Danio rerio: one gene and its partner. The protein of the gene in region 2 binds, or shares a complex with, the protein of the main gene of each other region. Links are inferred from orthologs where the notes say so. Each region holds a gene or a part of one and is shown on either strand. Other genes may lie near its edges.

Region 1 (7,537 bases), on a different chromosome or scaffold from region 2:
TTCTTGATTATTCATTTTTATTTATTAATCCTTCATCTTATTTTAAATTGAAATGCTTTTTTTCTTTCTGCAATTCCAATTTCTATAATTTTAACTTGGAAAAGATGTATAATATTTAAAAAAAAATGGGAGTTTAGCAAAGTTTCCTCATTTTTAACTATTATACGTTCATTTTTAAAATGTAATTTTTTAAAATATATATTTGTTTTCTTAAATCTGAAATTCCAGTTTCCATTATTTTAACCTGGCAAATCTCATCTCTTTTCTAAAATATGGAAGTTTTTACAAAAGTTCCCTTAAGATAAACATTTTATTAATATTTTTGCTATTAATGCATTCATTTTTGAAAAAAAAAAAAATCTAAATACTTTTTTCCACAAATTAATTTTCATAGTTAACTTGGGAAGGATTTAAAATTTGTCAAACTATAGAAAAATTTAGCCAAACCCCTGAAATATGCTTCTGTTTTAAGTAAACCTTTTTATTTCTTGTAATTATTCATTCATTTTTAAATATAAATGCTTTTACTTTGAGAGTTTATGGAAGTGACACTTAGTTTGAAAACTATCATCTGTAATTAATAATTGTGTAGTTTGCTTGCATTTGGTTATTTTTGGCCAATTGTAAATTTAAATTCCATTAATTCCAATGAGAATTGTTATTGAATGCATAATGAGGAAGAAGAGAAAGCGTTGCTGTTCTAGAAGAGCAGTGCTGTACATTTAAACCGCTTCTATTGACCTGCTGCTTCAGCATTTCCAACTGCAGCAAACACAAACCTGCTGAAAGCCTGTGCTCAATCAAGGACACCAGAGACGAACAACACAACCTGTTTATATTCTCACCTCGGTCATAATGCTTTTACCAGATTTACTCTGCTCAAGCTAAATCTAACAAATGCATCGTTTCAGCAGGAATATTGATTCATATTGTGGTTTGTTCTGTGCATAAACTAACTTGGGAACAGTTGCTTTAGCAGTCATATATTGTGACCTTTTTGCTGTGTAGTTGGCTAAAGCATGGGTGTTTGTGTTTAGCGGAGTGAGATCGTGAGAGCGGCGTATGAACCCACAGATGAAGAGTGTGAGTGGAAGCAGGATGAGGAGGAAGAGCTGACAGTAAGTAAGCAGGTACAGGTGATCCATACCTGCATGCTTTACAAACACTGCCACCGCCTTAAAAGGACAGTTCGCCCAAAAATACTGACATCTATAGGAAAAACAAATACTGTTCAAGTCAATGGATATTGGTTTTTAGCCATTCTAAATATTTCAATGTTTGTAATTACATGAATTGAGTAATTTTGTTATATTTTTTTGGTGAACTGTTGTTTTAACTGGACGTGCTGATATACATTAATACAATATACCATAAAGAACATGCATATTATCATAGGCACTTAAACATAGTTGAATAATTATTTAAACTTTAAGTACCCTTGAATAATATTCACACACATTGTTCACTTTAATAATATTCATGCTGTAAGACTTGGTCTATTTGCAAATTTTAACAGGCCTGTTGTTTATTAAGCCCGTAATATAAGGCTTTGACATTTAACATTTAATTAACATTTAATTTCAGTATTTTTAATTAGCATTAACTTAGTAACTACAATAAAAAGCTCACTGTTGATTAATGCATTAAATTAGCAATGACTTTTACTTGTACTTTATCATCCTTTTGCAACTGTTTATTGTAACATTTTGTTAGTTGTATGCAAATAAGCATTACACAAAGTTGTTATTATACATGTTAAAATCTGCAGCTTAGGTTAATACTGATACCACAATACCAAGCTTCAGCGTTTAATCAGATGTTTTAATGTCTAAATGCATCAACATCAAATTGTAAATGGTTATTAAAACCATTTGTTTTGCTAGCATTAACATGGTAACTGCAATAAAATGCTCACTGTTTATTAATGCATTAACTAGTGTGCATTAAGTAGACCATTGCAATGTTACCTATTGTACTTTCATCATCCTTTTGTAATTGATTATTATTGTAGCGTTTGTTTATAATATACAATAAAGCAGTACACAAAGTATTTGCGTTAAAATAATCTCTTGGCTTGGGTCAATACTGATACCTTAATGATAAAGGCTTCAACATTTAAGCAGCTGATATTTCCTAATAACTAAAATTAAGTTGTTTTTTTGGTAGCGTTAACATTGTTACTGCAATTAAAGGTTCACTGTTGATTAATGCCTCATTATTACCATTATAACCCTATTGAGCTCTTATCCTTTTGCAGTTGAATATTCTGAAACATTCGTTTATACACAGCATTGCACAAAGTATTTTTTATTATACATGTTGCAGTGATCTGCTGCTTGGGTCAATACTGATACCTCAAAGATAAAAGCTTCAGCATTTAAGCAGCTCTTGTTTTAATGTCTAATAATGCATTAAAAAGGTGTTAATCATTAGTTTTGCTTGCATTAACATGGTAACTGCATTAATGCTCACTGTTGATTAATGCATTAACTGTGCATTAATTAGACCATTGTAATGTTACCTATTGTACTTTCATCCTTTTGCAATTGATTATTATTGTAGCATTTGTCTGTTATATACAATAAAGCAGTATGCAAAGTATTCGTGTTAATCTCCTGGCTTGGGTCAACACTGATACCTTGATGATAAAAGCTTCAGCATTTAATCAGCTGATGTTTTCTTAATGCATTAATCAAAAGGTGTAAGTGGTTAATTAAATGGGAGTTAAAATTGTTTAATTAGCATTAATCGCAATAACGTAACTGCAATGAAAAGATTGCTGTTGATTTTAATGCATTGTTTGTTAATGAGACTTGTGTAATGTTACCTGTTGTACTTTATTCAATTGCAAAATGATTGTTCTTTGTTTCTCTTCAGTATTGTTTATGCATTTGTATACAATAAGAATTTAAATGTGTGTGTGTGTGTGTGTGTGTGTGTCATCTCTAATGCAGCAATACTGATACCACATAATGATATAAAAGCTTCAGCGTTTAATCAAGTCTAGTCTTACCTTTGTTGACTCTGGTTGATTATCGCCCTCAGGAGGAAATGAAGGAAAAGGCCAAAGTGGAGGAGGAGAAAAAAGACGAGGAGAAGGAAGATCCCAAAGGCATCCCAGAGTTCTGGCTCACAGTTTTCAAGAACGTGGACCTTCTCAGTGAAATGTTGCAGGTAGGACGAGAGTGTAGTTACTTTCAGGTTTACTCTTATAACGCACTTTTAAAACAGCCACAAGACTGACCAAAGTGCTTTACTACATGATTAACAGGGAGATGAAGTGCTTAACGTAAATACTTTTACATATATCTGTTAATATAGCCAAATGTTTGGTGCAGTTAAACATGCACATTGTTGCATTGGATATAAGTTTTATTAATCTTATTAATATCCAATAAGAGTTTGGTCACTAAACATCTTTAGGAATAGAAAAATAAGGATTTTTGTTTAAATAAAAATGTTTTATTGCAACCATAAAATGCAAACTACAAGATTGCAACTACATTTCATATTCGTTTCACTTTATTTGTGAATTTTGCATTTGTTTAACTTGATTTCTGTATGCAAATTTATTTAAATTTTATTTTCCCCCAGCATATTAATTTGGGTGAACCAATTTTTTATTTTTGTTAGATTAGTTGGTGTTGTCTTTTGGTACTGACTAGTCTAATGTATGAGCACTAATATACTACTGTAAAGCATCTTATAGAAAATACTAATTTAAAAAGACATCTGAGAGTAGTTTACTTTGTAGTCGCTATGTAAAAGATATAATTGCAGTGATGCATGGAAAAACAATCCTCAGGCCAATGTAAACAAATGGGTTTTTAAAAGAGACTTAAATGGAGCGGCTAGTGTCCATTCTGATCTGCTTGGAGGGAGTGTTTGTCACTAGTTTGAAAGCAGGTCATGCAGCAGGGGATTTGAGGCTGTGAAGAGTGTAGGACTGGTGCTTACTGCCATCTACTGGTGGGGAAGTGGAGGATTATTAGATAACACAAGCCCTACAGTTGGTGGTACCCTGATTTACAGGGTTTATACGATCATTAAAAACCTGGTAAAGTCATGGAATATTGACGTGGCATTTTCCAGGCCTGGAAAAGTTTTGCAAAAGTCGTGGAAAACAAATATCTGTTTACTTGAATATAGGTTAGGTGTCTTGACTTCTATTCTGCCCTTGGCCAATCACATACTAACATTATTAGTGCGGTGTAAGCATCATCTAAATTTTACATGGATCTAAATTTAAACTAAATAGATTGCTGTGTTTTACCATATGCTGTAACAAATTTGAACATGCATTGTTTTTCTTTAACCATGCGGATGTAGACATTGCATGAAACAATCGGTCATGAGAATATACTTAAGTCAGGGGTGTTCAAAGTCTGTCCTGGAGGGCCGGTTTCCTGCTGATCTTAGCTCCAACTTCCTTCAACACACCTGCCTGAAGATTTCTAGTATACCTAATAAGAGCTTGATAAGCTTGTTCGGGTGTGTTTGATTAAGGTAGAGCTAAACTCTCCAGGACACTGGCCCTCCTGGACCGAGTGTGGACACCCCTGACGTTGGTAAATTCTCATGACCTTATGTTTTAGTAATGTGTATGAACCCTGATTTTATTTAACTAGCTTTTTTTTTCTTGCATTTCTGTACTATAAAACAGAATTCTATGTACTGTAATAAATAATACAGGTATAATCTGTATATTATAAGGAAATGTATTGGCAGCAGCTAATAAAGTGCACAAAATTGATAACGCTTCAGCTAAAATGGAATTTACAAGCAAGTTAAAACTAATATCATGAGTCTCCATTATAGTTAAATTTGGCTTTTAGAAATCATTGTGTACTAAAATTGTAAGCAGCATTACTGCTCGTGTTAAGTAAAGATGAAAGTTGCATTTAATAGTACTGATTACTAGTCTTCGCTGAGGCCAGCTTCCAGCCTCCACTGCTGAGACTGCAGCTCTGCACAAGACTTTTGGCCAGCGGAGAAATTAAAATGTTCGTGCTGAACTGAGTCTGCTTCTCTCAAGGTTTTTTTTCTTCACTCTCCAATTCCGCCGCTGTCGCCACTGGCTTGCATGGTTCAGGATCTGAAAAGCTACTCATTGATGAATTTGCTCTTCAGTGTTTGGACTCCGTAATGATTTCGAACCACACAGAACTGAGCTAAACTGAACTGAACTTAAACACTAAAAACTGAACCACCCTGATCCAGTTACTATGACCATTTATGTGAAGCTGCTTTGACACAATCTACATTGTAAAAGCGCTATACAAATAAAGCTGAATTGAATTGATTTTAAGCATTTGTTTTAATGACACATTTACTCTTCCTGCTCAGGAACACGATGAACCCATCCTGAAGCACTTACAAGACATTAAAGTCAAATTCTCTGACGCCGGACAGCCCATGGTGAGTCTGACTGTCGGAGTCATTCGCTTATTGATTGATTTATTGGTTTAATCTCACTGTTGCCTTTTGTTCTGTTTCTGTAGAGTTTCACATTAGAGTTCCACTTTGAGCCCAATGATTTCTTCACACAAACAATCCTGACAAAAACCTACAAGATGCGGTCTGAGCCGGACGAGTCGGACCCCTTCTCTTTCGACGGGCCGGAGATCATGGGCTGCACGGGGTACAGATGAATTCTGCTCTTTCCCTGTTTTAGTGCTAGGATGCTTTGGAGATAATAACAATTTGTTCATGCATTAATAACAAATGGCAACAGGAATTGGATCTTTGAGTATCAGACATGCTTCAATGCTAATTTTGAGCACCATTAAGGTTTTTATTTACTCTTCTGTTGGTTTGATCTAGAGCTTTGTGTATATAGTTCTAAATCTGAAATGTTCAATAAATAATAATTTCATGGGCCGTGGGCTAGTGATTCTGCCCTCGGTTGTAAATCCCGACATGCACATTTTCAATATTAATAATTTAGATAGTGCTCGGCAGTAGTTTTCACTGAGCTCTTCAGTATAGAGTCTGAGTTGAGTGATTTTGGGTTTCAGCTGCACGATCGACTGGACTAAAGGCAAGAACGTCACATTGAAAACCATCAAGAAGAAACAGAAGCACAAGGGTCGTGGCACAGTGAGGACGGTCACCAAGACGGTTCCCAACGATTCATTCTTCAACTTCTTCTCTCCGCCTGAAGGTACATCATTTTACATGCGTTGAAAATTTACAACCCGTTTACCTCACCCTCGATTCAAGAGGATTTTGATCTGTGAAGCATTAGATGTTAGTTTTTGTTGACTTTAGCTGGTTTATAGAATACATGTCAATGGCTGTAGGCACTTTCAAGACTTATTTTTTTTTTTGCACTACACTTAACACAAAACAGTGAGTTCTCGTATTACTGTGCCATGTTTTACTAATAGTACCATATATATTTTGTGGAGGTGTGGTGTCATGCATGTAAAAGTAATATAAAATCAATATACACTCTAGAGAAGAGCAGTAAATAAGTGCTGTTTATTACAGCTGTTGTTGATTTTAGTGCTGGGCAAATATTAATTGCACCCAAAACTAAAGTTTTTTTTTGACCGTACGTGTACTGTATATCTAAATGCACATGCATGCATATATTTAAATGAATGTTTGTTTATATTTAGTAATATTAAATGTACGTATTTTTATAGAAATCCATGCATGATGGATATATAACCACAATTTTTTTGGTGTAATTAGTTGTAATCTTTCCCCAGCACTAATTAATTTATGCTTTTAAAATGAGTAGATTTAGTTGATTTTATAAATTGCAGATAATCTGAAAGTTTAAGTTGCTTCCAAGTATAAAAAATAAGGATGTCAGTAATTCAGGATGAATGTTGTTAAAGCCAGTGCAAATACTAATGAAAAAATCATGTTTCCACTAATGTAGAGCTAATCTTTCGTATGAGTGTTTTTCCTTACTTGACTGTATTTATTTAATTTTTTTGCAGTTCCAGAAAGCGGTGAGCTGGTGAGTGGATCTTCCTACTTCTAAACTTAATATCCAAATGCGCAATAAAACAAACTGTTTAATTTTGACTTGGGGCTTAATTTAGTGTGAAATTGACCGTAAAATGAACTTGTATAATTAATTTCTTTGATTGCTTGTTTTGTGACATCAGCTTGCAGAAATCGAGATATGCTGGTGTATATAATGGTATTAAATGAGTGTCACACAGTAATATTAGGAGTGAAAGTTTGTTGATGCTGTTTCAGGATGAAGACTCAGAGGCAGTTTTAGCAGCAGATTTCGAGATCGGTCACTTCATCCGTGAGCGTATCGTTCCCAGAGCTGTGCTGTATTTCACTGGAGAGGCCATCGAAGATGACGATGATGACGTGAGTGAACAAGACCACATAAAACTGTTCATTCCTCTAACTAGACGACTAGTCAGTGTTTATACTGAGAGCACTTTGACGTACATTTTTGTACTTTAATAGCAGACGTGGAAAGAATTTACCTTATTTGTTAATCATCTAGTATTCATGTAAAAATTCTTATTGAATTGTGAAGTTGTATTCCCTTTGTTTATAT
Region 2 (8,082 bases):
CCTTTTTGTTTTCTCTTTTTGTTTTATAATCTTGTTTTTTCCCCCTCATTTTAACCAAGTCTTACAAAAGTAATCACAGACATTACAACTTACATAGATCAGATGCTTCAGCAAACTGACTGGTTCAGAACATAAATAGCAATCCCTTAGCAGCCACTGTTACGCCGCACGAATGCATGTCCTCGTATAGGATAATACATCTCAATGAAGGTAAGTGACCCTACAATGATTTCAGAAGGACCCTGCCCTTTGAAGCCAGACTTCTGGTAGAAGGGCACCAAGAAATCCTCACACATAAGGACGGCACGGCGCACATAAGGTAGACAGCGCAGATACTGCAAGTAACGCCACAAGAGGATGGATCCTTTTCCTTGCTGGCGGAAGGTCCGATGGACTGCCAGCACATGGATGTGAACAGTAGTTCCATGAGGTTTATGAAGGGTCAGTGCATCCTAAAAAGAGACAAAATTAAATAGTAAAATGAATAAGTTGAATAGTACAAGTTGCTTAACCATTTATATTACAGTTTTTACTTTTTTCTTTAGCATTTTATTTATAAGTTTTATTTTCAAAGACGTGCACATGCAAATCATGAAAAACATGCGAAACATGATTGAAAATATGTGCGTGTGTGTATTATGACAAGTGTTTTTTTTTATAAAAATATGTTTTAAATCTGTGCTCCAGGGCAAACAATATTGAAAATTTTAAAAATACAAAATATTGAAAAATATACATTAAACTTGATGAATTTTATTAATGAAATTTATTATTTATATATTACCACCATGCAAGGATGACAACACATTTTAATTTATTCATTCATTTTCTTATCGGCTTAGTCCCTTTATTAATCCGGGGTCGCCACAGCGGAATGAACCCCCAACTTATCCAGCAAGTTTTTACGCAGTGGGTGCCCTTCCACCCGCAACCCATCTCTGGGAAACACATTTTAATATTATAATAAATTTTAATTAAATAATAATAATAAAAAAGAATTAATGCTATGTTGTTTCAAACCAATGTTGTCTAATATAACCAATCCTAACGTAATAAAGTTATTTTTAACTACATTTTCACCCAACTGCTGGGTTTGCCCATACTTGACATAGGGCTAAATGTGGGTTTAAATTTTATGGTGTAAAAGTAATAATAAACAATAATAACTAATACTTAATTAACCTATGTTACTAACGATAACAAGTATATATTTGAAGATTATTACAGCAGTCAGACGGTCCTGGTCCCAGAGAGATCCTATGATAAAAGCGACAAGCCTTCCCTGTTCAAACCAGCCCAAAGAAAGCTCAGGACAGAGAGTGAGAAAGTGCCTGACTTCATCCAGGTGAAGAGGACATTCTCCAGAGACTGAAATAAAAGCTGAGAAATAAAACGAGAAAACATTGACGTTCTGACACGTTTCAGACAGTTTTACATTTACCCACACTAAATAAACACCAGACAATGAATATTACACACATATGACCACACAAACCTAATGAAAAGCAAATCGATGATTGCAGTATTGCCTCACCCTCTCTCTCAATTTCGAACACACTGATTGCGTCCTCGGCGTTGAGCGAGCGAAACTCGCTTGCTGGGAGCGTGTGTCGGCGCTGGCGGCCAGGGGAAATCGGAACTCTCGCATGGATGGGCTTCAGGAAAGGCAGTGCGCTCACTACTGACATTTCTGCTGCTTAAAAATGTATTTCGTCTTATAAATAAGTAAATAGTTTTCAATTGTCGCTTACGGGTATTCTATTTCCAAGGGCTGTGTCCAAAGTGAATCATGGAGAGGTGCACCATGGGCATTTATACCCCTCCATCTGCTTAAGATTCATTAGTCACCATAAGCCTTAAAGCAGCCCCCATTTAACCATTAATCACGTTTACTGAAACCACGTGAGTCTGTTCAATGGCCAATAGGCACATTTTGATTTCAATTTGTTCAGTTTTTTTTCATTCATGATAGTTGTGGCAAACTATTTCTTAACTTTAATAACTGAATTAAATTACCTAAAAATCCATTTCATTCACATGGGTTGATGGATCAGTACACTAAAATTCCATTAAACAGCCAAGATTAGATTAGTCTTATTTAAAATAAAGACTATAAAAGGGAGTACAAGGAGGTATAATGAAAATAAAGATAACGAAAACAACTAATTCCCAGAACGGTTGTTCCCATTTCGTTCACAAAATGCTCTGTGAACGTTTCCAGAACCTGCGTTCTCAAAATAATCTCTACAAAAACCCTCCCAAATAATAAAGGGAACATTCCCAGAGGTTTTTAGAACATCCTCAGAAGGTTCCCAGACCAGAATGGGTACATAGGCGCTGTTGCACACAATTAATCAGACATCACTTAAACCATTGAGCAGTAATCTTGCATGAAATTATTTGCTGAACAATAGAACATAGCTTAATTTTATTATGATCTGCATAAACGTTTTTTATTGTAATCACAATTTTATTTCCTTGTAATTGCAAAATAACAAAAGTTGTTTGTGATCTCAACTTAAATAAACAGCCACGTACTGGATGCGTCATTAACAGTTTAAATGTCGTGTTTACATGTTACTGCATGAAAATCAATAATGAAATTGTTGTAATGCCCTGTTATATAACATTTTGTGAAACATGCAAACTGGTGTATGCAGGTAAATCACTGGCAACAAATAGCTAGTTCTATAACAGTAACGTGGAGAGGAAATGTTTCCTATAAATTCTACTCTTAAATATAACCCTGGCCTATCAATGAAGAATTGCACCTTTTGATATTAACTTAATTAGCGTTATTTTGTATTTATTTTACAGATATACACATTTATGGTCTATTATTAAATAAATATTTTATAGGATGAAATAAAAACAACAATAATTCCCGGATTTTAAAAGTAAAATAATAAATAAACATTTAACAAAAGCAACCATCCTGTCAAACACTGCCATCGTGTGGCTGATCTGATCATGTGTTTGGGTGGAGCTGCAGATGAAAAACATAAAACAGATGATCCAACACAATGCCGTACGTAATACACACGCACACATTATTCGTCCCTTATTTAAACCAATTTTGCTATGATCTGACAAGTCAAAACATTTGCTTTAAGTCTCTGTTTTCAACTGATAATGCAAGTAGAGATTCAAATAAGCTAATTGTTCTGCTCTTAAAAACAACAGGTGACTCGTCCTCCATGCGGCGCTGTACGTAGAGACGTAAACACGTGTTTCTCCTGCTCACAGGTTTCCATCCCTCGCCTCCCGCATCATTCAGCAGCAGCAGCAGCAGCAGAGATGGCGCAATTCGCCCCAGCAGCGCTTTCTCCGGCCGTAAGCCTGAGCTCCGAGCCTCCGTCCAGCGCGTTCTCTCCCACGGAAGGTGGAACACAGCGGCTCCTGTTTACGCATGATCTGGTCTCCGGAAAACATCACGGGGCGATGCGTTTTGGGCTTGTACGGATGATTCATGGAGAGGAGGATTTTGAAGATTCGGACTCTGAGATTGGTGGTGATGGCGGTGGAGGAGGTGGAGGCGCTCCCGCTAACTCGGATAACGAGAGTGGTGCTGCGGAAACACGGCCATGGCCTCTCGGTAGAGGATTTGTGCGGGTTCAGTGGTATCCTGAAGGAACGAAACAGGATGTTCGAGAAACGAAGGTAACGTTTATGAAAGCCGCAGATTATCCCAACGTTAACCCCATACGACTAACAATGAGCAATCAGCTATATTTTACCGTCGTCGTTTTTGTCGCGATTATTTAAGCAAAGCCGAAATACATTTGTTGTTGTCTTTTTAGTTTTATCTTTTTTTTTAAACAAGGAGGCAACGTGTGTTTGTTTCATATAGAAAATTGTCCCACTGGGCACTGACAAGTTTTAAGCACATGAGCGCCTAACAATCATTTAAAAACTATCGTAAAGCCGCGAGTACCAACGTAAACGCACATTTATAAAAATAATTAGTTAAAATAGTTCAGGACCAACACAAAAGCTCATCGGCTTATATCAGATACTTTTTAATATTTTGCTTGTAGCGAGTGTGAGTATTTTTTGTAATTTTTATTTCTTATCATTTATTAATCAGTGTAAATTATTTATCACTCGCAAATTAGAAGTGTTTTAGCGTCAATTCAACCTGGAGTAAACAATTTCAGATTCTAGGCCTTTCCCTGACGTTTCTGGACCTTCATCGCATTATTCTACTGAATTGCTTTCAGATTTTCGTTTCAGTGTTTAAGCACTAGAAGCCACCATTTTATTCTTCAGCTTTCAGGTATAGTATTAGAATAAAGCACTAAATTAGAATACAATGGTGTGTGAATAACACATATGTTAGGCTATTTCCAACGAAGACTCCATTAATCAGAAAACTACCCCACCCTGAAATGCCATGTTATGGCTTACAATGAGCATGAATGAACTATGATTAAGAAAACAATATCAGTAGGTTGTTGAAGTAACAGTGTTTTGGTTCTAGTGCAGAATAATTTTAAAACTAGCTCAAAAAGGATTCAAAATGTTTTCTATGATGGATGTTTCTACAAGTCATTTTTGAAAAGTGTCACTCATATATAGTAATTGTAATTATAGGTCTACAAATATATATCAATATTACTTTTTTATTTAAAAATAAATAATTTTTAATACTGTCTTTGAGAAAAAAACTTCTAACAATGGCTTGAATTAACCCTTTAACTACCCCACCAAGAAATAAAAAAAAAAAGAAAAATTGTTGGTATGCATTTATTAGCTCCTAATATTGCTAGTTGTCAATGTATTTTTTTAAACATATCCCATAATTATCATCCCAGAAATAAAGAAAGAAAAATTGTTGGTATGCATTTATTAGCTCCTAATATTGCTAGTTGTCACAATGTATTTTTTAAACACATCCCATAGATAAGTCGCTTTATGTTAAAAGTACCGGTATTGTTACATATACTATGACAATAAGAAAATATGAACAGAACTACTAATAGTATTTAAACATAATCAAAATAAATTATTATTTACTGAGTCATCTTTATTTATTGTAGTATGTCATAAAATATTTCAGGCTCTCATTTAAGACAGTATTTTTTCACAATACACCCAAAGTCAAGTGTAGTAATGCAACATGATTATATAAAAGCCAATATTAATCACTAAATAATATTCTGTGTGTAATATTGAAATGTTATCTAGCTAGATTATTATGGATGAATCAAGAAGTGCAGTATTAGGCTTAAATCCACCTTTGCTTTACTGTAATACATATAGTCATGTGCTCTTTTTAAAGGTATGTACAAATAAAATGTTAATGTTTGCGATATCTTGGGTTGCATAGCTCCTCAAGGTCTAGCAGCAGGCAGAATGAGCAATGCAGTCAAGAGGCAGACTGAGCAAAATAGTCTAGAAGCCAAAAGCAACAAATAAAACAAATACAGTCTAAAGTTGTTAGCAAATTAATTAATTAATTAATTCATTCATTCATTTATTTTCTTGTCGGTTTAGTCCCTCTATTAATCCGGGGTCGCCACAGCGGAATGAACCACCAACTTATCCAGCAAGTTTTTTTTTTTTTTTTTTTACGCAGCGGATGCCCTTCCAGCCGCAACCCATCTCTGGGAAACATCCACACACACATTCACACACACACACTCATACACTACGGACAATTTAGCCTACCCAGTTCACCTGTACCGCATGTCTTTGGACTGTGGGGGAACACAAAGACTGTGTCTTTGGAGCACCTGGAGGAAACCCACGCCAACGCAGGGAGAGCATGCAAACTCCACACAGAAACGCCAACTGAGCCGAGGCTCGAACCAACCTTCTTGCTGTGATGCGACAGCACTACTGCGCCACTGCTTCCCCCTAGCAAATTTATGATTCATTATTGGTGGTTAGTAAACAGTTTGTGTAAAACATGTGTAAGCATTGCAGAGTTATTAGCGTCAGATGCACTTTGACGTCCTGCTAGCACATTTGTCGATGGCGTAAACAAATCATATAGCTGATCAATATGATTTCCATAAATTTTGGTCAAAAGAACAAAGCAGTTCAGACCCAGAAAGAGCAAAGCAGTCCAGAGGCAGATTGAGCACATTTGAGTACATGTGTCGGTCGCCTATTGACATGAATTTCACAATACTTTGTCAACATGGTCTGACAATGATCTGAGTCAAATTTGGTGATATTTCGACAAACGGTCTAAGAGAAGTTTGCAAATGAATTTTTGAACAAAAGCTATATGGCTGACAGTACAATTAATTAAAAATCTGGTTTCGATTTCGATTTTGGCTTCTAACAATTATGAAAAAACATTAATCAAGATAAAATGATTATTCCATCATATACAACCCATTTCCAGTTGTACACATTTGTTGCTCTGCAAAACTCAGTTCCATGTGAAAATGACTAAAAAGCATGTACTGTACTGTAATGTTTGCAGCATGGGATGCGCATCATTCATTGATGTATATTCAAATCATTCATGTGTTTAAATGCATGAAAGAGCGCATGCTGTTGTGTGTGTGCGCTTGGCCTCGTAGACTAGCAGAGCACACACATCTCACGCCATCTGCGAGTGCTTTAATGGTCGAATACATGCACATTTGTGTCAGAGCGCGGTGTTTAGTAATCATTCATATAAACCCTCATTTGTGTAATAAACAGACAAGTTGAGAATCAAAAGACATGTGAAAGAGAAACCATATCAGAGCTGAGCTATTCTTAAAGTGACAGCACGCAACATTCCTGCTGCCGATTGTTTTGATCATTAACCCGTTGCGTTCTGATGAAACGTCGGGGAAACATTGCTAAATATAACGGCTTCCCACAAAAAGACAAAACATTGCATATATCTTTTGAAAGCTGAGATTCTTGTCATTAAAACTATTCCAACCATTTTAAGACACAATGAACATAGCAGACACAATTAGTGTCTTTGTCAAACTGCCGATAACAACAGAAACAACAAAACTGAAAAAAACTCACATTTTATGGCTCCTGTTGCTCTTGTCTGCCCACAGATCCATAAAATTTCAACAAACAGGGTGTAATTACTCTAAAAAGGTACAGCCAATTAAATTCAGTGAAATATTTAGTCCACAACTCGTTTATATGTCAATAAACATCCAATGAATGCACCGAGATCATTTCAAACTAGTCGCCGAAGCAATCAAATCTATAACATGTTCAGGAGTTTAGTGTCTTTTTAGATTTAAATAATACTTTCATTTTGAAAGGAAAATGGGTGCTGACCTTTGCCCTTTTGATTGACGTATCATTTAAACCAATACCTGCTTCTAAGAGGTGTCAATAGCTGTCAACATCCAAGGAGCGCACAACTTGGAAACTGTTTCCGCCGTCGCTTTGACAATCAATAGATCAATCCAAATTTAAATCACTTTGAAAAACACTGCTTTATCTGATAGCCATTAAGCATCTGAAGAGATTAATATGCAGCTTTAGTGGGAAAATTCAACCTACTAAGCACAGAAGTTTGTTTGTAAAGTGCCATAGTGACTTGTGCATTTATGCGTAAAGAGTGGTGCAAGAGAGTTTTCATTGATTGGAGATGAAAATGGCAAAAAACTAGCAAAACACAGTTCTTGCTTGAGGAAGTTGTTAAAATGTACTCTGGTGTCAGTGATGAATCAGATGAGTGATGTTTCATCTATTGACTGCAGATATATTAGTGTGTGTGTGTATAAACTGTATAAACGCATAAATGAGTAGTCTAGAAATATATTACACTTAAATTCATTTTAATTTGGAAAAAATTTGCAAGATTTTGTATACAGTTTTTGGTTTCTCTAGAATTTTGCTGTTTTCATTTTTTTTGTAAATATTTTTCTATAACATATCAATTTGGGTGTACTAATTTTAGATCATTATCATTAGTTATTTTATTAGATAAGCTACAGATCTGGCTGCAGTACTGACTAATGTTTATGCACAAATTATAAATAGAAAAGCTTTCTATTGAAATTATTTATCAGAGATTTATGTCAGAGATCTATGGGAGTACACTCTTTTGTTGAGCACTATATGCACACACACACACATACACACACATATACAGTAGGTGAGACT

The links. Proteins that work in one complex are often made in the same cells at the same time.
Region 1: the proteins of (E3-independent) E2 ubiquitin-conjugating enzyme UBE2O (region 2) and nap1l1 are in contact, whole or in part, in a cryo-EM structure (PDB 7UN6), measured with the Homo sapiens proteins. The link is inferred for Danio rerio from reciprocal best matches to the Homo sapiens genes UBE2O and NAP1L1. Residues at the interface, in NP_071349.3 of Homo sapiens: Ser225, Asn226, Val282, Lys283, Pro284, Val285, Lys289, Ser290, Lys291, Phe292, Arg293; in NP_001317160.1 of Homo sapiens: Arg333, Arg337, Thr343, Gly344, Glu345, Ala346, Ile347, Asp349.

The regions. Positions count from the first base shown.
Region 1 is NC_133179.1:2,691,756-2,699,292, reverse strand, and holds part of nap1l1 (nucleosome assembly protein 1-like 1), read left to right. Parts: intron 1-1,037; coding exon 1,038-1,130; intron 1,131-3,045; coding exon 3,046-3,174; intron 3,175-5,346; coding exon 5,347-5,418; intron 5,419-5,501; coding exon 5,502-5,641; intron 5,642-6,017; coding exon 6,018-6,163; intron 6,164-6,953; coding exon 6,954-6,973; intron 6,974-7,218; coding exon 7,219-7,341; intron 7,342-7,537. UniProt on the Homo sapiens protein: Histone chaperone that plays a role in the nuclear import of H2A-H2B and nucleosome assembly.
Region 2 is NC_133181.1:21,999,989-22,008,070, forward strand, and holds the start of (E3-independent) E2 ubiquitin-conjugating enzyme UBE2O, read left to right. Parts: upstream 1-2,970; 5' UTR 2,971-2,992; coding exon 2,993-3,028; intron 3,029-3,246; coding exon 3,247-3,660; intron 3,661-8,082. Other genes in the region: aanat1 (serotonin N-acetyltransferase), read right to left, coding at 147-452, 1,226-1,380, 1,535-1,688. UniProt on the Homo sapiens protein: E2/E3 hybrid ubiquitin-protein ligase that displays both E2 and E3 ligase activities and mediates monoubiquitination of target proteins. Negatively regulates TRAF6-mediated NF-kappa-B activation independently of its E2 activity.